Linked DNA regions of Mus musculus: region 1 is reported to be linked to region 2. The links are microRNA targets in miRTarBase. Many come from high-throughput screens and were not tested one by one. Region 2 holds a microRNA gene; the other region holds the end of a gene's coding sequence.

Region 1 (8,174 bases), not on the chromosome of region 2:
GTCAGTGCTCTTAACTGGTGAGCCATCTCTCCAGCCCCTACTATATACTCTTTTAAATGACTTATTTGCTTTTATTTTTATGTGCATTGGTAATCTGCCTGCATGTATGTCTCTGAGAGAGGATCAGATTCCTTGGAATTTGAGTTACCTTGTGGGTGCTGGGAATTGAACCCAGGTCCTCTGGAAGAACAGCCAGTGCTCATAACTGCTGAGCCGTCTCTGCAGCCCCTACTATATACTTTTTTTATAGTTTTGAATTTTTTTTTCTTTTTGGGTATTGCTAAGGATCAAATATAGATCTACTATTTATTTTTTATAACATCCATTAGTATTTTTATAACTTACTACATAGTTTGCCAATTCTTTTATACATGTCCATCAAACATGTAAGTCATAATTTATATAAACCTTGTGTTAAAGCTGGAGGCACAGAAGGAAGATTGCTACAGAGTGAAGTCTAGACTAGCCAGGGCTATATAGTGGGACCCTGTTGCAAAGAAAAAGTTCTCTCTTTAAACACAAAGGCAGTATGAAAAGACATACCTTGATTCTGAAGCTGTGCATAGGAATGCCTCACACAGTGTTCTGCTCAGGACTATACTCAGATGCAGTGGTCTGAGGGACTTGGTGGTGTCTCAGCCAAAATAACCTGGAGTTTAGTAGGAAAGTCTCCTTTATCCGTGTCCAGTCCTGAAGGGAAGCCTTATTTATGTATGATGAGTCAGGACCCATTGTCTTCATCTTACTTGGCATCCCCCCAGCACTGAGTCTCTGAGTTAGCCTTACTTGGACAGAGTGACTCTCTGGGCACTCTGGACAGCATCTCCTGCTTCAAAAGGGCAAGATCTTTAGAAGACACAGAGATGGAGCAGGTCTTACATGGAGATATAGCAGCTTTTCCTTCCTGACCCTTGACCCAATGCTTCTTTGGAAATCCTCATGAAACCCTGCTCCTTTCTGGAGACCCACCCCACAGCAGGGTTATCCATGCCAAGCTTCCTGTACTTTCTCTTTTTGAGGAAGCACATACACACAAAGTTTTAGTAGCTCGCACATCTCACTGTGAAGTAGTGATACTTTCATTGCTATCTTCTGGAAACAGGCAGGAGTAGGCACACGCTCAGAGCATAGCTGCACTCTCATTCACTTGCCACCCTGAGGCAGAGCACACGACTTTGTGATCTGCTATGGAGGAGAGAGAAATGAGTAGTTAGGTGTGTATAAATAAGCTAACACCATCACCCCTTTATCTTTCACTAGGGAAATGTAAAAAGAAATCTGAAATTATTTTGTAAAAAAGTAAGCTGCTTCATGACACATGTCCCCTCTTGTGGGTTCTTCCAAGGTCTCGCTGTGGCCAGTGCCCTGGTGGACATTTCTCAGCAGATGCCAATAGTGTACAAGGAGAAGTCAGGAGCTGTAAGAAACCGGAAGCAGCAGCCGCCTGCACAGCCTGGAACCTGCATTTGATACTGGGGCAGGAATTCGCCCTCACAGAGGGCGTGTGGTCCACGAAGCTGTCTACAGGGGAGGCTGCAGGCAGGAAGCAGGCGTGGGGCAGAAGACTGGGGACCCTTGAAGCGTCCAACTCATGTGCATGATCATGCAAGCTGTTTTCATGGCTCACCCCTCTGTGTCCAGCATCTAACCTTTTACTTCTGTGTAGGAAATAATTTAATTACAAGTCCAGGAATGGTCTGCTCTACTCATGGGTGGAGGAGACCAGTGCCGACCCCGTGAGAGCTGAAGGTGATGCTGAGGTCCCTTGTGGAAGCCTCTCTTGGGAATCTCAACTGCAGAGGAGCTGCCCTCTGTCAGCAGCTCTCCAGCATGGTCCTCTGACACTCCTCAGATGAACTGTTCTCATCGGAAGCTTGCTGTCTTTTTACAAGATGAGCTTTTACTCTCTTCCAGGAAGTAGCTTTTTTTCTAGCTGAGAATTAATAATGGTCTTTCTCTTTGGAAGTCATATCAAAGTATAATTGATGGGGGCCTTGTTTTGTTTTGTTTTGGTTTTTGGAGACAGGGTCTCACTGTGTAGTCCTAGCTGGCCTGGAACTCACTATGTAGATCAGGCTGGACTGAACTCACAAAGATCCACCTGCCTCTGCCTCACAAATGCTGGGATAAAAAGCATGAACCACCAGGCCCAGCAAAGAGGGCTATTCTAAATGTCAAGGTCAATGGAGTTAGAATATATATAAAAAAATGCAATTGATAATTCTCTATAGAAACTTGATTAATTTTAATCCATTCTTTCCTTCTCTTTCTCTCACTCTGTCTTACACACATGCACACATACACACACACTAAGTGCCTAGACTTTGAATAGATCTAGCAATTGGACATTAGTAAGCCTAAGTTTTTACATGATTGCATTCCTACATTCTTGTAAACTTTAAGTAACTACCATTGCAGTTTGTTCTTTTTTTAAAGTCTAATTTGCAGCCAAGAACGAGTAATTCTCACCCCAAGCAACATCTAATAGGGACTGAGTGACCCCAGCCCAGCCTAGTGTCACTTTAGGCCTGACGTTTGAGCAACCCTCGGCTCTTGCCAAGGCACCACAGAATGCACTTGCTCATGCCCTGTGCCTCTTGAGCAGAAAAGAGCACTGACAACTGGGACACCTGGCTCTGTCTTCCTACAGCTGCTCGCACTGACCTGTGGGAACCTGTGGGTCATCCCCAGGCTGAATGGAGTACACACTAGAAGAGGGATGATGCCTAGCATTGGGGCAGCATCTGCTCAGCACATGGAAAGGGACCTGGTTCCATCTCCCCTGGGCAGGAGTTGGTCCAGCCTCCTCCCAGACCCAGCTGGTGGCTGTGAGGAGGTGGGGAATGCTAATGAGAATGAAAAGCACATGGGTTGATGGGAAGGGACAAGATTACCACGTTAGGAGGGTGAGCAGCCCTCTGCTATGTGCCCAGGACCCTGCCTGGACATTGCATTTCCCCATTTATGGTGCTCCGTATTCTGGCATTATGCAGCAGCCTCACACACCTGTCCTCTCCTTCTTCATGTCCTACAGTTCTGCTATCACCTGACTAGAATAGCCCTCTAGGCAACAGTGCTCAAATGTATGAGTTTGGAGAAGTTAACAATCAGAAGAACAAAAACTGTAGTGTTTCACCTTTAAATGCAGTGTTGAAGAGGGAGCCTTTCTCTAAGCCCTGCACTAACCCACTCCTCCCAAGACTCTTGTGGAGTGACAGTTCCAAGCTGAACCATAAATCACTGATGCACAAAACACTGCTAGAAGGCTCACCTCTCAAAACACGACTCTTTGCATCACTATTAAAGAGCAGAAAGTTCTAGAAATGATCCCAGCCTCATCCCCTATACAGTTAGGAGCTCCCCACATCTCTACCAAAACCCAGCACATAAGTATCTGCGTGGTCTAGCCTTTCATCTCCGTAACAAGCCAGGGGACTCTTGGCCAAAAGAAAGAAAGGGAAGTTGCACTAGGGCTTGTCCGTCCATAAGGAATTCCCCTCTGCTTTGCTCAAAGGACCAAATTTCTTTGGCCAAAGAAGTTGCTTCTATGTTAGTCCCATACCCTGAAGTAATATGTACCATGGCTCCCACCTACCTGTTTATGCTCTCCCTGCCCCCAGGGAAACTGTTTATTCTTTCAAAAGAAGCAAACAGCGTTCATTTCTGCTCCTGTAATGGAGAAACAGCCAGCTCCCCTGCATCCCTTACAGCCAACAGCTCCCTTCAGGCTTAGAGCAGGGGGAATGGCAGGGATTAAGAGCTCAGCTCAGAGCCAGTTACCAAGATGGAATGGAGTTGTGACCCAGTAACTGTGTCACGAGAGACCATGTATATAAAATAGTCATGACGACACTGACCTCTTGCACTTGTACATAACTATACTGTAGTGTCCAGAATGTTCAGACATTCAGGGTGTACATAAACAGAAGAGTATCATAATGTATTTTTATTAAACACTAACATCTGAGTTTCACCTAATCTGTTTCTGTGCCATATACTGGGTATCCAAGCTCTGGGAAGTTATCCTACCAGGCCCTGATCTGTTGATAAGGCACTATACACCATGCTGGTGTGTTCTGTAGCCTTGTGCCCATTAGGTAACTGAACAATGATTCAGCTCTTAGAATACCTAGGAAGACAGCAAGCAGGGTGACACACGGCTGTGATCTAAGCATTCAGAAGACAGAGGCAGGAAGAAAATTCAAAAATGGGGCTGGAGAGATGGCTCAGTGGTTAAAAGCACTGGCTGCTCTTGGTCAGGACACTAGTTCAGTTCCCAGTACCCACATGGTGGCTCACAACCTTCTGTGACTACAGTTCCAGATAACCTGACACCCTCCTCTGGCCTCCTCGGGTGCCTGTGGTGGTCCACCTGGTGCACAGACAAACACCCAATACACACAAAACAAAAGTAACTCAAGAATAGCCTGGGCTACATAGCAAGAGCCTGTCTCAAAACAAACGAACCTATGAAGAGCCAGGCAGTCTATCTATTTACATGGCAGTATACTAGAGAAACTCAGGAAGCAAGAGTGTTCATCACTGTTGTAATTTCAAATGCTCCTTGTGATTTCTGGCATCTCTGTGGGGTGAGGTGTTCTGTTACTCTTCACATTCAAAGACTGTCACCCATGAACGTCAGACTTTGCAAAGGGGCTCTCTAAGCTGCACTGTTGTGGCTTTGTCTAAAATTTTAATGACGTTTCTGAGAACCATGTTCTTTTTATACTAAAATCTGGGGATGGGAGGGCTCATTTGTTGATAAATAGCACTATTTTCCCACACCTCAGCCTCCTGTCCCCGTCCTGGTCTTCCCTACACAGTCTGGAGAGGGCTCTGAAAGGTCCACAGAGTTTGACAGACACGAAAGCAACCCATTGCCCCGTTGACCTGACCTGGAAGAAGACTGTCAGCAAAAGGAAAATACCAGAATATCTGGAAAGCTTGAAGTGTAAGATGGGATCTCGTTGGGGAATTGGATGAAGAAAAGCAGAGCGCCTCTGGTAGGTGACTCTGCAGCCTGCCAGCGCCCGCCCTCTTTCTACACAGCAGAGTGTGCATGGCAAGGAAATGAGTCACCTCCTTGGGGGATGGTGCTGTTTTTATGAAAACCTCTGATCCTTGGTGTCCTTTAATTGATCTGTTCAACAAATATTTACTAAACACTTCTAAGCTAACATTAGGGCAGTGACTGAGGTGGAAACCCAGCTCTTTAGACAGCTGTCATCCTAGGATAGCTTCCTGGAAGCAGAACCAAGAAGCCAGAAGGTTCTTCCTAGGGTGGCCTTGGCTCCCTGAAGGAATCTGAAATGCTGACCCTGTCACAACCTCCCAGCACAGCTTTGGAATGAGACATCAGCCTGGCCTCCAGCAGAGCAGAGGCTCTGGAGCTCCACATCCTGCCTGCAGGGAGCCCTCAGGGTGCCCTCCAGAGTACAGGGAGAAACTAAAGGCAATAACAGAAGCTGCTCTCAGAGCCTGACTGTGCACAAAACACTAGTGAAGCCTGCTGAACTAATTCTGCCTCTGGAAATCTTTTCTGGTTCTTTACAGTTTGTTGTTTTGTTTTGATCCAAGCTTAGTTTGTTACTATGTGTGATTTAGCATCTGTCGCACTTGTGTAAATATGGAGTAAGTATTGTAAACTATTTAATTGCTGCGATTGTTGGGTTATACATACATTTAGGACTGCAATTTTTTGGTATTTTTTGTATTGTAAAATAACAGCTAATTTCATCAGGAACAAGAGAATTAAGGGGGTCTGCATTTTAAATGCAGATGTGAAGCACTTGTATATAAATAAAAGTAAATACTATAATACAAAGTTCCTTCTGAAATAAAAGTAGATCTGGTAAAAATGTGCGTGCGTTTCGTTCTGAATGTTCAATGCTAATTTTGTTTTATTTTATATTTACATTTTAGTCCTTATTTTAGCAGTGAGGAGACAGGCACAGCAGTGCATTCTCACCTTGGCAGCTGAGGAATCCCCTAGAGTAGACTGCAACTCAAGACTCTTGGCTTCCACACTGAAAAGAGTTTCAGTTTATGAAGCAGAGTTTAGGAAGTTTAGTGAGGAATTTAAGGACTTCTTTTAATGTTTGTGTCTACATATGTGGGTACATATATGACACAGCATGCATGTGGAAGGCAAACAACACCTTAATGGAAGTGGCCTGAAGAACAAACTCAGGACTTCAATCTTGGCAGCATAAACCTTTACCTAATGAGTCATCTCCAGTCTATACGGGGTGTGTGTGTGAACACATGTGCAACAGCACACAGTGGAGGTCAGCACAACTCTTGCGAGTCAATTCTCCCTTACCTTGTAAGACCTAGAATTCCACATTGCCCAGGCTCTGAAAGTTAGGTTGGGTCCACACTGGGCCATGGCTGATGAAATGTTGGAAAAGTGATAACACCAAACTTTTGCACAGAAAATATTTTCATCTGGGGCCTTCCCTGGAGTTCACAGGCTAAAGTGTTGGAAGGAACATGGGTCCCTGAGCCACCACTTTCACAAAAACTACCTGATCAAGAAGAACTATTCTGGGTTTCTGTTGCTAAAATTCCTTCCCAGAGAGAAATGTAAGCAATGTCTGCCCCTTCAAGGGTCCCAGCAAGAAACCAAGGCACAATTCCACCAAAGTTCACTAGAAAACCAGTGAGTTTATTGGGCTTCCGTGCAGAACATACATGAGGGGTTACTTAGAGAAGTGTGGATACTCCTCCCCCTAACAATCCACACCCTGAAAAAGCCTTACCCAGCAGGGATGAGGGCTTCCCCAGACCCACATTGATGGTGCTCCCATTCCATTTTTCCCTGGCATGCAAAGAGATAGACAGAAAAATAGATTATATATAATATACACATAAATTAGAAAAATAGATTATATAATATACACATAAATTATATATTATATATATAATATATAATACACAGATAGATTATATATGATATATAAAACACACAGAAATAGGGTATATATAATATATAATACACAAACTACTCAGCTATTAAAAACAGTGGATTCATGAAATTCTTAGGCAAATGGATGGAACTAGAAAATATTCTGAGTGAGGTAACCCAATCACAAAAGAACACACATGGTATGCACTCACTGATAAGTGGATATTAGCCCAGAAGCTTGGAATACCCAAGATACCATTCACAGACCACATGAAGCTCAAGAAAGGAAGATCAACGTGTGGGTGCTTCTGTTCTTCTTAGAGGAACACCCTCATAAAGTAGTGGTGGGGGGTGGGGGGAGACAGAATAGGTGGTTTCCAGGAGAGGAGGAAAACAGGAAAGGGAATAAATAACATTTGAAATGTAAATAAAGAAAATACCCAATAATAAAAGAAAAAGAATTTTGAAACAGAGGGTAAAAAATAATACACAAACCAGGTAGATAGATTATATATAATATATATAACACAGAGATAGATAGATAGATAGATAGATAGATAGATAGATAGATAGATAGATAGGTCAACTGCTCGCCCCTCCACTAGGTAACATGCAGTTAAGGCAGAGCTGCATACAACAGATGTTAGGGATACTCAGGTGAGAATCTCAGGCTTTGCTCCATCCATCTATGCTGGGGTGTAAGCTGTCAACAAGTTTAGCTGGGATGATGCTTTGCAAGAGGGCACAGCTGAATGCCCTAAGATGGTAGATGCTTGGCTCAAAGGAGACACTACAGCTCTGCATCAAGGCAAACTAACTGAGATGAGGGCCTTTATTTTCCAGATCTGTATCCTGGAGCATCATTCACCTGTTACTACACTGAAAACATTTGGTGTTGGTTTCATGGCAGATGACAGGCAGTGAGAGAAGTACAGCAGCGGACTGCTAGAGGTGGGGGTTCTGTCAGGACGTGGGAGGCTGTTTGGTTAGTAACTTGGAAAGCAACAAGTTTTTAGCTAGAGGGAGAAAAGCTGGAGATAACTGTACTTGCTTGATTTCTTAAATATCAAATTTTATTTTATGCATATGGGTATTTTGCTTGCATGTATGGCTATACACTACATGCTTGTGGTGCCCACAGAGACCAGAGGAAGTAGTGTGAGCCTCTGAAACTGAAGTTACAGACATTACGACTTGAGTGCCTGAAACTGAACCTTGGTCCTCTGGAAGAACAGCCAGGGCTCCTAACCACTGAGCTATCTCTCCA
Region 2 (7,539 bases):
TGGAATCAGCCAGCGTTACCTCAAGGTATTTGAAGATGCGGTTGACCATGGTGTGTACGCTTTATTTATGACGTAGGACACATGGTCTACTTCTTCTCAATATCACATCTCGCCTTGGAAGACTTCCAGGAGGTGACATCTGCTTTGAGGAAGAGCCAGTGTCCCGGTCTTCCTACTGCTGCTGCTTGGTACTTGGAGAGAGGTGGTCCGTGGCGCGTTCGCTTCATTTATGGCGCACATTACACGGTCGACCTCTTTGCGGTATCTAATCCCGCCTTGCGAGCTTTCCTGGAGCTAACACCAGCTGTGGGGTGGGGACACTAAATGTGTGTGCTAGCGCAACCCAGCCAGCGGGTTTGTCTTTTCTTGTGTCTGACAATAACTCTTGTGTGGCAGCCTTCTTCTCAGCAAATTTCTCTGGCTTGGCAGCTTCGTGGGCAGGGTGACTTGCAGACCAGGAAAGTGGCATCGACATGTGATACACGTGTGGGTGCGTGAGGTGGTTGACCAGAGAGCACACGCTATATTTGTGCCGTTTGTGACCTGGTCCACTAACCCTCAGTATCTAACCTTCCCTTGGAGAACTTCCTGGAAGAGATCTCAACTTTTGGGGACAGAGGCAATAAGCCAGCTGTACGCTGTTAGACTTGGAGACAGCATCCTCAGTACTTGCAACATATGTGCCTGTTATGGTAGTATTGGATGGGCTTCCAATGCTGTCCTATACTTGGATCCCTTCCTTGATATGGGGCCATCCAAGTTCAAGAAACGTACCATGTTGTCAGACATGACCAGGGTGTGTGTATGCCATTTATATATGGCACAGGTCGCAGGTCACCTTAGCACACTTGCATGCTAAATCTGTGGGAGGAATCATCTTTGGTTTGGGGGCATCTGTGCCTTTCTGTGGTTACCCAAAATGGTGGTAAGTCCTATAGCCAGTCTCTACTGCGCCACTGCTCTCTGGTTGTGACATAACTTCAGGATCATGCCATGGAGGTCTGCTGTACTGGGGCATGTGATGGGATGGCTGTCAGATATATATCAACTAATGGCTTGCTTGAGCACTTTGACTAACATCCAGTGTGCAACCCTGCATTCAACAGGCCTGCCAGGTCTGAAGGTCACGTTGGGGAATTACCGAGGTAGTCTTGTCAGTGTTCGCTTCTGGTACCGGAAGAGAGGTTTTCTGGGTCTCTGTTTCTTTGATGAGAATGAAACACACCCAGCTAACCTTTTTTTCAGTATCAAATCCCATCTTGGAGGCTTCGTGGTCCAGATCCCAGTCTCAGGGAAGGATGGTCCTGTCAGCATCCAGCCAGGGGACAGGAATAACTGGTTCTCCACAAAGCCAGCGAGTGGATTATCGTTCTGAATGGTGTCCTTTGTCCTCTAAACCCTCCCAGGCCTGCCAGGTCTGAAGGTCCAGTTTGGGAAGGTGTCATTGTTATTGTTAACTGAGGATGTGGAAGAGGGGTTTCTGTGTTTGAAACACATTTGGTCAACCTCTCTTCCCATCAGAACAAACTATGGAGGCCTTCTGGTCCATACCTCAGCCTCAGCTGAGGACACACTAATAGTTATGAACAAGTGAGTGACGGACAAAACCCATCCCATACATCAGATTTCTGTTGCCTGTGCTTCTAACCTTCAGTATCTTGTCCATTCTCAGGAGGACTTCTCAACCAATATGGTGTTCCAAAGTTGGGGAAGATGGCAGCCACCGAGGCAACTCTACCCCAGGTCATCACAGGTAGGTTGCACCCACTTTGCTTCTAACAGGTTAGACACAGCCACCCCCACACATGTCCAGCATGCTTTGGAGGCACGGTGATGGGCTTTTAATCAGCCAACCCCTGCTATAGGACTGTCTATTGTAGAGAACACCCACTGTGTCAGATGGTACCTAGATCCATGCTATTCACACACACCCACATCCTTGTAATAAGAGACTTGGAATCAGCAGTGTTCTAGCAGTAGGAAAGCAAACCTGAAATTGGCACACACATTTGCCCAGTGAGCTTTAAGATATGAAATCTGGAGCGGGGCAGTGGTGGCGCACGCCTTTAATCCCAGCACTTGGGAGGCAGAGGCAGGTGGATTTCTGAGTTCGAGGCCAGCTTGGTCTACAGAATGAGTTCCAGGACAGCCAGGGCTATACAGAGAAACCCTGTCTCGAAAAAAACCAAACCAACCAACCAACCAAACAAACAAACAAATAAACAAAAGATGTGAAATCTGTTCTTAGTCCTTAACTCCACCCAGGGTTGTGGTCAGCAGTAGAGCTTTCTGTGGGGTTCCAGGTAGAACACAATTCTCATCTGCAAATCATGAGCCCTTTTCATAGGCATTTCATATCAGATATCTACATTATGATTTATAACAGTAGCAAAATCACAGTTATGAAGTAACATTGAAAATAATTTTACAGTTGGGGATTACCCAACATGAGGAAGTATATTAAAGGGTCACAGCACTAGGAAGGTTGAGAACCACTCGACCAGGGGGTGGAACTGCCTGCCCCTGCCTGCTGCTTCTTTATACTACCACATGTGCTGGCACACATTTACCTTCCTACTAACTTTATAATGTGTCTGCTTTTAGAATCTTACCTTCCCTGGAAACTACCCAGACTCACAACCAGAGGGCTGGGTCGCTTCTCATCACCCACCTACCTCTTGGAACCAGAATCCGAGGCTCATTCCTGAACACCCCCAATGTACTGTACTTGTTGAAGTTGAGAGCTACTATTCCCCTGTTATCTCCTGAGGCACAATTTCTGGGGTCCCTGGTTCCCTTCAGTGACCCCCCCTAAACCTGGAGAGATAAGGAATGCAGGTGGTCTGTGTTGTTGGTAAATAGTCTCAGGCAATTCTGTGGACTGTCAAATTGCACAGGGGTTTTGGTTGCTCTCCAGGGCCCACAGAAGCAGACACTTCTGACAAGGCACCTGGCACTTTCCAGCTGCCTTTGTTTGCTTTCTGACCAGTGCTAATTGATACTTGAAGGAGAGGTTGTCCGTGTTGTCTTCTCTTTATTTATGATGAAACATACACGGGAAACCTCTTTTTTAGTATCAAATCCCACCCTGGGGGCACTCCCTGTCCCTGATGACGCCTTCAGGGAAGGGACCTGGACTGCTGTTCCCTGGACTCTGGGACATGGGACATGGGAGTATGGCATCAGGACTCAGCCCTGGAAGGAAAGTCATTTGAAGAAGGGACAGGGTCCCCGTGGTGGCCTGAGGCTACTCCCTATGGCTTTGGACTGTGAGGTGACTCTTGGTGTGTGATGGCTTTTCAGCAAGGTCCTCCTCACAGTAGCTATAAGGACGTGCCAGCATCGTGACTGAAGGGACAATGATGCCCACTGTTCTCGGGGTAGCTGTGTGGATGGTAGACCGGTGACGTACACTTCATTTATGCTGTAGGTCACCCGTTTTACTATCCACCAACACCCAGACCATCTGTGGGAAGACACCTTGGTGCACACGGCAGCTATGAAGAAGATGTTGGTGGGGTTGAGGCCAGCGTGAAACTAAAATATTTCAAGCAGAGTTAGCTTTTAAGGGGGATCCTTTTTCTGCTTGTGTGTGTACATATATGTGTTCAAGAGAGAGAGTGTGTGTGTGTGTGTGTGTGTGTGTGTTGGGGGGGGGCTACCATGGGCGTGACTTTCATTTTATGATCCTGTATCTTTGCAGTAAACAACGCCATCCTGGAGGATCCCCTGAATGTGAAGCTATATCCCAAGCTGGGGCACATTTCTCCTGGTGGGTGAGTGACAGGTCTCTCTAGCCCAGCATCAAGCCCACATCTGTCACTTATGGCATAGGCTTCGTTGTTCTTGCTCATCTCCATGTCTGTTCAATTTTGCTTGTCTTCTGAGGATTCAAATCATTGGCTGCTTCCCAGCACAAGTACCTGACTAGGAGATGTATTTCAGATATGACATCTCCTTAGGGAAGGACACCAGAGTCCTCATCAATGGAAAAGGTATGTCATGGTGTTCTGTCTGAAAGAATATATTATATTTTCATGTGTGTCCTTCTTTACTAATGCTGAGTATGCCTTCCATACCTAGGACGACCTCCTGATGTATTGCTACCCTGGGGGTGAAGGTGGCTTCCTTGCCCCTCCTCCAGGCTCCTGGCAAGTGGTTCTTGCAGCCATGGCAGAGACATAGAAAGTAAGTAGGAACTCTCCGACTGAGATTAGGAACTACTGTGATTCTGCTCATGTTTCATTGGTCAAGCCAATGAAGGGTGGGGAGGTGCCCTGTAGCCATGTCATGAGGGAGAGAACATGTGTACAAGCATAGGCAACCAACTATCTACCTGGAACACCTAAGAAGTCTATCTTTATTCATGTTCTTTTTTTTTTTTAATCTCAATGTTCCATTTCCCAGCAAGTGGAGGGTCAACAGAATCTGTTCTCAGAACACCACATGCCACTTACATATATTTTTGTCCAGGAGACATTGTCTCGTTCTGACAAAGGCTCAGATATCTTTTTGTTTCCCATTTCATGATAACCTCCTTGCATCAGGGCCTCCACCGTGGAACATAGGTTGATGTCCTCCCCTCTAGCAGATGGGTGGTGACCTCGACTGAGAGGTCACGGGACCCACCTCCTCTCTTGTCACGGATCCAGAGCTGGACTTTGGGAAGCAAAGTCAGGATTATTATATCATTCTCTGATGTTTGAGGAGACTCCAAAGACCTCCCCAAAGGATGACCAATCCAAAGCCTGTCTACAAGATCCTGATTCTGCCTGCGTGGAGCGGGCACAGCTGTGAGAGCCCCCTAGGTACAGCGGGGCTGCAGCGTGATCGCCTGCTCACGCACAGGAAGTGACGACAGCGGTACTCAAGCCACAGGAAGTGACGACAGCGGTACACAAGTGGTACACAGGGTTCCATGCTGCTGACGTACGGTGCTTAATGAGAAGTTGCCCGCGTGTTTTTCGCTTTATATGTGACGAAACATTCGCGGTGCACTTCTTTTTCAGCATCCTATTCTACGTTGAAGACTTCGGGGGTTCAACTACTTACTGACTTCAGGGAAGCCATGTTAGTCTAGGAAAGTAGTCTATGTAGTGAGCCTGGGTTGTGTGAGTTTATCTCCCTTCTTGAATGGTCCTCTGACCTTTCTTAATGAGAATGGGTTTGGGTTGGTTGGCTCCTGCTCCCTCCTCCCTCCTCCACAACACAGTGTCAAAGGAACCAGTTGACCAGACATTATTGATTCCTAGATGAGACCTTAGCCCACAGGGAGATGTTTGCTGAGACTTCTGGGAGGGGAATGAGTCTTCATTTCTGTGAGAGATGTCTGAGTGGATCTCACTGTTCCCTGAGTTTGAAGGCCAGCTAGAATTCAAGAGGACAGTACCCAGGGCTGTTTAGACAGAGGGGGAAGTGCCTGTCCCAGAGGAACCATGGGACATTTGAGTAACAGTACAATCTGGGACCTGCATCCGACACTCCTTGAAGCTCAACACGTCACTGTACCTTTAAGTTATATTAGCCTGGATGCCTCCTTTGTGTGTAAGTCAGCTTGAGGTGGGCCTTTCCTTACTATGAGAGGAATGGATGGCTCCTTGTTGAGTGGCCTGTCAATGAGTGTAACTGGCATTCTTTGGATGGTATGTTCTCTTGCTCATTATTCCCATTGTCCAGTCTAAGGTAGGTAGTTGGTACCAAGTCACTTTCCTTTGTGGTTCAGATATATTGCTGTAGTGTTGTAACCTTCCAGTAACGGTAACACACACTAATCAATGCGTTTTGTTTTCAGGGAAGGGTCGGTCATATGTCCCGTTCAGGACAGCCGCAAGATGATGAACGGACATTGCATCCCCAGACATCTCACACGCTCAGAATCCTGGAGCCTCCCATTTCAACCTGTTCTTCTGCTTCCCAGTACCCTGTGAGCTCTTTGTTGTATTTGTCTACATCGTAAGTCACTTCTGGGTGCGGGAGAGGGGGGACCTCAGAGGGCATCATCCAGGCACTCACACAGCTGGTTTAGGCTGCCCTGGATTTTGCCACCTAGTTCTTTGACTTTTTTTTTTTTTCTCAGCTTCAGAAGAGGATCCTGGAACTGAGAGAGGAGATTCTGTCTTGGAGTTTGGCACCATCCCATTTCCCCCGAGTGACACTTCAGAATGACTGGCAAGGATGGTAGGCAACATCTCAGAATCTTCAGTCTTCGTCCCAGGTCTTCCTGAGATCCTGAGGTAGAGGGGGTTTGGGCTGGATTGCTATGGCAGTGATGAGTACTGAGCCACTCCCCTTGCCTCAGGACCCCCATCCCTGTCCCCCTCCCGGCCAAGTATCTGCCTCACCCACCATCCCTTCCTTCCGCCTGTCCCTCAGCATCCCTTCACACTCAGGCACACTGCTGGAACAAGCAAGAGCTCAGCCGTGGTACCTGAAAAGAAGTTGCCCATGTTATTTTTCGCTTTTATTTGTGACGAAACAAACATGGTGCACTTCTTTTTCGATATCAAATCTCACCTTGGAGAGCTCCCCATGGACCAGAGGGAGGACGGGAGGCCAGGGGGTTTGGGTCACCATGTGCACAGGGGCATTTACCTCAAAGAAGCACAATTTCACCTGCCCCTCTTGGCTCTGTGCATTGTTAGGTCCAGAATGCCCACCTCCTGGGACAGGCACAGTCAGTAAGGGAAACCAGGAAGCGCACTTTTAGGCTCTGTTGTAGGATGGAGTTCAGATAAGAGAAGCCCAGAAAATTATAAAATCCAAACAATAGCAATTTAATCAAACAGCCAATACAAGCCAAACCACCAATTCCTTCTGGAGACATGTGTCTAGATGTCAGCTGCAGGTGTCTTTACCAAGATATGTCAGTTGGTGAGTGTCACATAACACTATGACTCTAGAAAAGCCTGGGCCCCAGATCAGCTCTTTACCAGCATCCTGCCATGTCTACGGGCTGTGCTCTTTGATGCCATTAGCAAGGCCTTGAGGACTGGTGGGTGCTGGCTACGATTGGGACCAGGGAACAGCAAGCTGTCATCAGCCACTGCTGCCTGTCTCTTATCTCTGATACTGGTACCCCTGCCCTCTGGAGTGGTAGATGTAAGGCGGCACTTCAGACCCCTTTTCCCTAGTGAACTTCTCTTTATGGCTAACATTCTCTGGTAGCCTCCTCATGGCATCAAAATTGCCTTTGAGTGTGGTTGTTTGAGCAGGGCCCTTTGGTGGCTCTCTTGTGAGAGTGGGAGGGAGGATACAATCCAGAGAGTATGAGAACACCTCATCCATCCATCTCCCCTGGAGGGTTTCCGAAGCTGAGCCAGTACAAGATATGGGATCACTCTTAGGCAACCCTTTGCTAGGATACTAGCTATTTCTTTCTTTGCTCAAGTTGGAATAAAAGCTTTGTTTATACTTACGTGGCTCAACAACCATAGCGCATCAAAACCCAGTGCAAACTCCATCTAAGAGGTACCAGGATTAGCCACACACTTAGCTCTTAGTTTCTACTGGCTCAGTGATGCCCTTGGGCTGTGGCTGTAC

Evidence for each region. Region 2 holds the annotated microRNA mmu-miR-494-3p (UGAAACAUACACGGGAAACCUC, at 3,045-3,066, shown strand). A microRNA usually pairs through its seed, bases 2 to 8, with sites in the 3' UTR of a target mRNA and lowers its output. Matches are read on the target gene's strand: a 7mer-m8 pairs with bases 2 to 8, a 7mer-A1 pairs with bases 2 to 7 and ends in A, and an 8mer does both.
Region 1: miRTarBase lists Atrn as a target of mmu-miR-494-3p. Seed matches in the 3' UTR shown: 7mer-A1 at 3,129-3,135.

Annotation. Positions count from the first base shown.
Region 1 is chr2:131,024,472-131,032,645 of GRCm38, forward strand. Atrn (attractin) reads left to right here. Exons shown (of 29, transcript NM_009730.3): 29 at 1,346-5,858. The coding sequence ends at 1,470. It overlaps Gm30286 (a long non-coding RNA gene), which reads right to left and starts at 1,180. Exons shown (of 3, transcript XR_374979.4): 1 at 544-1,180. Gm39937 (a long non-coding RNA gene) reads left to right here and starts at 7,371. Exons shown (of 2, transcript XR_866742.3): 1 at 7,371-7,858.
Region 2 is chr12:109,712,323-109,719,861 of GRCm38, forward strand. It overlaps Mir494 (microRNA 494), which reads left to right and starts at 2,996; the gene lies at 2,996-3,080. It overlaps Mir1197 (microRNA 1197), which reads left to right; the gene lies at 1-114. It overlaps Mir323 (microRNA 323), which reads left to right and starts at 186; the gene lies at 186-271. It overlaps Mir758 (microRNA 758), which reads left to right and starts at 488; the gene lies at 488-568. It also overlaps Mir329, Mir679, Mir1193, Mir666, Mir543 and Mir495.